Xenopus tropicalis: one gene and its partner. The protein of the gene in region 1 interacts with the protein of each later gene in a pairwise test. Links are inferred from orthologs where the notes say so. Each region holds a gene or a part of one and is shown on either strand. Other genes may lie near its edges.

What was found.
Region 2: the proteins of cep19 (region 1) and fgfr1op interact in binary tests that used the Homo sapiens proteins (3 or more experiments, as listed by UniProt). The two-hybrid records come from large-scale screens. The link is inferred for Xenopus tropicalis from reciprocal best matches to the Homo sapiens genes CEP19 and CEP43.

The regions. Positions count from the first base shown.
Region 1 is NC_030681.2:133,902,418-133,906,669, forward strand, and holds the start of cep19 (centrosomal protein of 19 kDa), read right to left. Parts: upstream 2,843-4,252; 5' UTR 2,801-2,842; intron 1,790-2,800; exon of another isoform or gene 1,631-1,789; intron 1-1,630. UniProt on the Homo sapiens protein: Required for ciliation. Recruits the RABL2B GTPase to the ciliary base to initiate ciliation.
Region 2 is NC_030681.2:56,934,625-56,938,450, forward strand, and holds part of fgfr1op (FGFR1 oncogene partner), read right to left. Parts: coding exon 3,769-3,826; intron 2,964-3,768; coding exon of another isoform or gene 2,907-2,963; intron 2,759-2,906; coding exon 2,646-2,758; intron 934-2,645; coding exon 891-933; intron 690-890; coding exon 596-689; intron 1-595. UniProt on the Homo sapiens protein: Required for anchoring microtubules to the centrosomes. Required for ciliation.

The DNA of each region.
Region 1 (4,252 bases):
AATCTGTAATAATAAAACTGTACCTTGTACTTGATGGGAACTAAGATATAATTAATCCTTATTGGAAGTAAAACAATCCTGTTGGGCTTATGTAATGATTAAATGATTTTTAATTTAATATACTCAGGGTATGGAGATTCAAATTACCAAAAGAACCCTTTATCTGGAAAACCCCAGGTCCCAAGCATTCTGGATAACAGGTCCTATACCTGTATTGTTAACACATATTTATGAAACACCAATGTATTCCGCAGCTTTATCATTTAAAGATTATATGATAAGGGATGTGTACTGTTTTATCTTTTACTCCTAAAACGCCAATTAAGAAGGATCCCCACAACATGATGCTTTCACCTACCTGATTTATAGTAGTATTGGTATTCTTAGGGTGCTTATAGAAATTTGTCCATGAAAATAGTTTTTTTAATTAATGGCCCATGTTTTTTTCAAATTCTTATGAGTGAAAACTATAATTAATTCTGGATATGGTGGATCTTCATAATTAAGAGGAATAGGTTTTAATATGTTAAAATTTTAATCGGACTCAGCATGTGAGGGAGAGTCAGGTTGATAAATGCTACTCTTGAAAAGATCAAGCATCTTCTTGATGTGCAAAGATACATCATCTATTGCCTATGTGATCTAACAGAAATTTTCAAGTAAACAGTGTTTTATTTAATAATTCTTTTTTGAACATATTCATATCAGAGAAAGTGTCTAATACAGCTGCACTGCTGAAGGGCAAAACCAATAATGGCAAAGCAAATGAACCCAATTCTGAAAAAAAAGTTCCAACCCCAGTGGCATCTTTGTAACTTTTAACTTCAATCCAAAATCAGATTGGTTGCAGTCAGTGTTCCACCCTGATACATTATTCAACTTTCACCAATGCTGATCAAGTTTGCCTAGATCATCCTTATATGAGGGCATAAATGAAAGATTTGTAAGGAAACATTTTTATAGGGCCAAGAACGAGTTGGCTTAGTAAGCAAAGTGACTGAAATAACTATATATGTTTAAGTAGGCTTTGTTTAACCAACTTTGCAAATTCTGAAAAGTAATCTTTTAGGCCATTGGCTCACAGGGCAACGGAAGTGAGTGTGCTGGTAAAGTTCAGGTCCAGGTAGGGGCATAGAAATGAAAATCACATGGTTGTCCATTATCCTTGCTTTCTATAAAGAGGAAGGTGAATGATCAGCTCTCAATTACAAACTGGAATTTTAAGCCAAAATATGTTTCAGAAGTTTGCATATTATTTTTTCAAATCAGCTTCAATCAGTTGAACTTTTTTTTATAAAGAAGTGGATTTTTAGGTCATTATTTTGACTAAGCCCCCTGCTCACTAATCTCCTGATAGGCAGCTATTGTGTGGTCCTGAGCCGCAAGAGATTATATAAGGAGCTTCACCCAAGTGTTCCTCACAGCCTGGAAAGTTTTTGGAAGTTGAAAATCAGCTCAAACTGCTGAGGATCGATAAATATTCCCATATTTGATCAATGATAAATCAGTCTCCAAATCTTTATTTTTGTTAATTTGAACAAAGTATCATGCCTGGGTGCTGCCTATCAAGAACTTAAACAGTCCTTTAAATCATCAGCACACTCCAAGGGCTTGTAAATAATGTTTATACCTCTATTAGTTACAGCATGGTAACTGGTGTCAATGTTTGGTTGTAACTTAAGATCACACTAAAATACACTCCCACCATTACGAGAGACTGGGGATGTATGCTCTTCCTCTGCTTCTGAAGTTTCCCTGTCTTGGAACCTAAGGCGCGCAAAAGTAGCATATAGTAGCATATAGTTGCAATGGCAACATTTTGCTGGTTAGGGACGGGTGCAGGTTGAGTTTTTCCTGACCTGCACATCACTAATACATACTGTATGCATCCCTTATTCAACTCATTCACAGACAGTTAGGAATTTTGAATAGTATACAGGTATAGGATCTTTTATCAGTAATGTTTGGCTTCTGTTGTATTCTGGGTAAGTATTTTTTTCATAATTAGGATCACCATACCTTAGGTTTGCTAAAAACTTTAAATAGACCTAATGGGATATTTTTGCAGCCAATGTGGATCTATGGACATAAGTTATAAATAAGCACAAGGTACCCCCCCCCCCCAAAAAAATGTATATGCCTATAAATCTGATTTATTTAAGGGAAAAAAAATGCCCCCAACCTCCACCACAGAGTTCCTGGGGAAATCTGGTGACGGAGCTGGGGGGGGGGGGGGGGGTGAGGATTTCACGCCATAGGCACTGCGTAAATGACTTAACATCTGCCATGTAGGGGGCGTATTTAGGTCCAGTGCCACCAGCCCTGCCTGTATGTAAACAAGTTATCCTAAAGGTTAACAACCTCTTTAATGCTAATTAACAACATTAAATATTGAAAAATAAAAGCCAATAGTGTTGTTGTGCTACAGCATGGATTTATACTTTAGTATGGTTACCATGAAGTACAAGGTTATTGCCACAAGTAGAAATAAAAAAAAAAATCCATGTTTGTATTTTGGAGCTCTCTGGGGGGAATCATTTTGCATTAACCCCAGACATCACAATAATATCACTATAGAGTATTCCCTTATCCCCTTATCCTCAGACTGGCCAATAACATAACTGCACAAATGCATGAGTATTGTGACTTTACACAGATGCTAAGAGTGATAGTTTAACAAACGACAGTCACAGACAAAATGCAGCTGGGTGCTTACAGGTTTGAGTGCAACATGCACCCTGGGCCATTTACACAGCCCCCCCACCCACTCACCAGAACCACTGGTGCCCCTATAACTTACCACGCTCACTCCTGTGCCAGGAACTGCATTGGCTTAAACAGAGAGTCTGCAGTATTGTTGCCTGTAGCAACCAATAAGCAAATAGATATGAACGGTAACTTGCAAGCTGGAAAACGAAAGCAAAGATCTGATTGGTTGCTGTGGGGGGAAGGGGGAGAGACAAGGACTCCGCGTAATCAGAGCCAAGTCTTTTTTTCCTGAAGGGAAAGCAAGTGGGGGTGGGAGCACTGGCTATTCAGTTGTTCATTAGGCGGCTGCCTTGCCCTTACCTGATCAGTCAGTCAAGCTTCCGACACCCAAAGCCACAGGGAGCGGAGATCTCAAATACTGTCTCTCTATTGTCACTGTGCGAGGTGGGGGCAGGGGGCAGCCAGCACTGTGCCTGAGCTCTTCCTTAGGGGCCTGTTGGTAACACACATTGCTCAGAGATCTGCTAAACAGCCCCACACAGACCGCATTTGTTTATTTCATGTTTTCATTGTTCAAGCCAGCCGATAACTAGTGGCTGTGTTCCCTTGTGGATTCCAATAAATGCACAAAGCGAGTGTAAATTCCTGGCCATCTGCTGTCTTCCAGTGGTTGTGGAACTGCAGTTCTCTGTTTTTGTCTGGGGGGGAAAAAAGCATCAGAAAGCACAAAGAATGGCACCTAGAAGAATATTATATATTAAACTTGTAGAGTGGGTGGGTGACTGTGGCTTTGAAACAAAAGTTTTCAAGGGAGCATAGAACGCAGTGGTGTTGGGAACTTACATAAAAATACGCACAATAATGTGGAAAAAGTGGCAAGAGGAGAGGGGATACCCCACACACATGGGACAGGGAACATATATATCTCAGTCCTTATAGTGTCTGCACTCCAAAGCTTGCAGCTTTGCGGGGTGCACAGCCATATTTTAAGTATTCAGAGATAATTATTCCGTGGCCGTCACATCCTTAAAATTTCTCAATTTTATTTAAGACATATTGTTTTAAAAGAATCTGACGTTTCGGTCCACAATAGGACCTTTCTCAAGGATACAGTAGTGTTCACGATACTTTTAAATACAATCTCAAATTCAACAAGTGGAAAAGTGCCCAATCCCCATCATCAAACTATTATACAATTAGCCAATATTCTTGTGTATGTGCAAATTCAAATGGACCAGTGTCTGACCATTTGCAGTGCATAATAGTTTAAAAAATTCATATAAATTTTATAAATAATCTCATAATAAAACTAGTGTTTCATTCAGTAAAGTATTGTGCATAGTGTATTCACATAATTGCCATATGATATGAATACTTAAAAAGTGCAATGCTATAAAATAGTTATAAAGTGCAATATTTGTTTTGGTTTGCAAAAACCTGTGCATCATCATGTAAGCTCAATAGTGTCCTTGTAAAAAAAAAAGTTCATAAAAAAATCGTGTAGGAAAAGAAATATATTTTTTTTATATAACTCTTAATATAT
Region 2 (3,826 bases), about 77 Mb from region 1:
ATTTTGCGACTTTTTCGTATTTTTTGCGATTTTTTTCGGCAACATTTCTGATGCAGAGTACAGCTGAATAAAGTCAGAAAGAGTTGAGTTGGGTTGGGATGGTTTCAAGCGCTACCGTGCAAGCTCTGTCTCTTCTTCACTTATTTGAATATCATTAATTGCACTGGCAGCCTATATAACACATAAAAGTGCAAATGGTGCTATAAATAACCATATACTTCAGATTCCCTCATTCAGTTAAAGATTGCCTTGCAACAGTCATACTGCTGAAAAAATGGCTTTATCTTGCAAATAAACAATTAAAGATAAACAAACTTTACTCATGAAAACAAAAGCAGATGGAGCATGGATCAGTTATGAAAAATCATACTCTATAAAAAGAGGGCTGTGGTATACTCACTAAGTTACTCACTATTCTTATTGTTTTAATTATTATTAATGTACATTAATAAGCAGCAACATATTCTTGTAATGTACAACATAAGGGCATATACATCAAACTAAAGCTCTGTGGTTTACATTTAGTTTAACCACATCCACTGTTACTAGTTACAATGCACAAGACAGGTGCTAAGAAACAGAAAAGGACTATTACCTTTTCACTACCAATGAAATCATCTACAGATAATTCTTCTTCTTCTATTTCCTCACCAATACTAACGTCACTTTTATCTGACCGCTGACTGGTGCTAAAAGAAAAAAAAAAAGACAACATTTTTCAAATGAGAAATTAACAATATATGTTAAGTAAAAAACAAGTAACATCAGTTTTTACAATCACTTGCCCTTCTAACTAAACAGACATACTGTCATACTGTTACAGTAAAAAATGGGCGTGCACATATAGGTCATAACTAACTAGCAGAAAAATAGTGTTCTTCGGATTTTACCTGTTGAAATCATCAATGTAGTCATCATCTTCATCACCAGTTCCTTTGAAAAGGGAAATAAAAGGAACATTAATGCAAAAATATGTACTTTTTCAGTTAATAGCCACATAAACTAATCCAACCCATGATACAGGAAATATTTTTACAAGTTCTTTTGTGAAAGGAAAGTCCTTGTTTAACATAGTAAGTCTAAAAAACCAAACAGGCAACTTTACTGCATGCCATTTCTTATCCTTTATTTGAACTTAGAATGCAGCAAAAGGTTGTGAGACCCTTAGTATTAAAATTACTTTTACTGATGGTCACGTTTGACTAAAACAGAATAGAAAAATCTTGCTTTATTTGGCTTTTTATCTTTTTTTTTTTTTTTTAAATCTACAATTAGATGATTTTAACTTTTTAAACAAAAACCATTGAGGAGAAACAGCAATCGATGTAAACAAATAAGCCCAAGATAAAGAACTTTGCTTTAGAATGTTTGTAGCTCGATTTCATTCAAAGCTTGCTCTTGCATAAACATTCCATAGACTTGCCAGACTTGCCTTCAATGGATTCTCTATAACTGCTTGGAGTTTTTTTCCCTTGGAGATGGTGAGCAGTAGGTTGGTCTTTACAAGTAAAACACCCATTTTAATATGGAAATTAGGAAATAAGAAACTTCCTAATTCTAATTAATAAAAAAATCATTATTTCTGAAATAATCCCCCTCTCAACAACCTGTGCTTTATAACATCAAAAAAAAAAAACAAACAAAAAAATGTAACTTAAAAAACAGTTTATTAAATAAAAGTCCTATTTGTGATCATGAGTAAAGGTAAATACATGGATCTTACTCCTACTAACCGGCCTCCCAGACTCCCACCTCTCTCCCCTGCAATCAATCTTAAACTCTGCTGCCAGGATCCTCCTGCTCTCTCCTAAGAGGGATCCTGCTCAGTCTCAATTAAGCTCACTAGCATGGCTGCCTGTCAAGCAAAGGATAGCTTACAAAATCCTTCTGCTGACATTCAAAGCCCTTCACTCCTCTGCTCCTCACTACATTTCTTCACTGGTCCCCCTACATGTTCCTGGTCGTCTCCTCCGCTCCTCTCAGAGCCTCCGTCTCTTTACACCATCCACACCCACTGCGCTCTCTCATCTTAAACCTTTCTATCTCGCTGCTCCTTACCTCTGGAACTCTATCCCTGAATCCCTCCGTAGGGAAAACTCACCCACTCTCTTTAAGAAAAAAACTTAGCTGTTACCTTCTGGAGCACTTAGCTGTTACCTTCTGGAGCACTAAGACATTAATTTTGCCCAGTCCTGCGCTTAAGGGCAAATGCCCATACCTGATGCACTCTTACCTTCCAGTTTGTGCCTGTATGTTACCGAACCACTCAGATTGTAAGCTCTACGGGGCAGGGACCTCCTTCCTACTGTGTCTCATACCACATGGCACTTATATATATATATGTTTACATATATGTATTTATTGAATTTATTTATTATATCACTTGTCCTCTCTGTGTGTAATTTTGTATTCTGTAAGACTGTACAGCGCTGAGTACCCTTGTGGCGCTTTATAAATAAAGTTATACATACATACATACATACATCTTGCCTCTATAAAAATGTAAGGTATTTTTAAATGTATTGTATACCGTTTGTAAAATAACAATTCAGAACTGTACCATACAACTGACATTTGTCAGAACTGAAAACAGAGTTTCACATACAGTATATTTCCATTATGCAAAAAGTAGAAATTTAGCTTACGGTCAGATTCTCTGGTGCTAAGTGATCCAAAGCGGGAACTTGTTTCTGTTTTTAATGGAGGCAAAGTTGCATGAGCAGGAACACTTCCACCATGCTTAGGGGGGTCACTTTTCCTAATAAAAAGGGAAATGTATCACCAAAACTCAAGAAATGATTATGATTGGCAAAGACAGCTCTGTAGGCAAAATAAAAGCTGCCAGATGAAACTACTGATAGGAATGGTAACAAGGATTAATATGGCACACCAAGAGAGTCTCTCACCTTTCTGTGGAATTTGAACTGACTCCTGTTTTTAATGAAACATCCGCTCCTTCAGCACTTTTTTCCACATGTTAATGGATCAGCATTAGAGGAAAGAGGATAAAAATGACACTTGCACTAGAAAAACCCGAAAAAATGTACTACTACACTGTCCTTTGTCTAAATATGGCTAAAGCAATGTCAGAGTCCCCACAGGAACGTAACACTGGATGGGGGGGGGGGGGGGGGGGGGAGGAGGAGGCAAGGCTTTAGTCCCAAAATGTTAGTGACACAAAAAAAACTTTAAAGTCACACTCATCAAATGTGATAACTGATTTCAAATTACATTTGTTGCAATAAATGACCCCATGATATACCCAACACACAGATGAATTAGAAATGGCTGAAGCAGTGATGTAAATGGATTGGGGGTCGCAGAGCGATGTAAGATGCCCCTTGTGTTTTGGTGAGATGCTGGAAATTCTTTTACAACACTGATTTTAGTCAAATCAAGTCGGGTGCACTATAATTTTAAATAAATTGCTAGGTATTAATTAATGATAGCATCCTTTTAAAGTAACATCATATTGCTTACTGTTAATGAACCAAGACTGTGCATGTCTTCACTACACAGCATGTAACAGTATACATACAATATTGCATGGAACATTAAAAAAACCTACTACTACACTTTTCCATGTGTTTGTATGAGGTCATAATGTTCATATAAAAAATCATTCACTAAGAGATCCATAGAATATATTATTTCCTTTAAAACTGCCTTCTCTATAGGATAACTCTAGAAAACAGTTACAAAGTGAACTGCTGTGTTGATAAATAAATAAATGCATCTATTGAAAACGCAACAGAATCTATTTCTCACCATCCATATGTTTTCTCTGGTTTTGGAATAGGATCATCAAAGAAAGAATCTCCTTCAA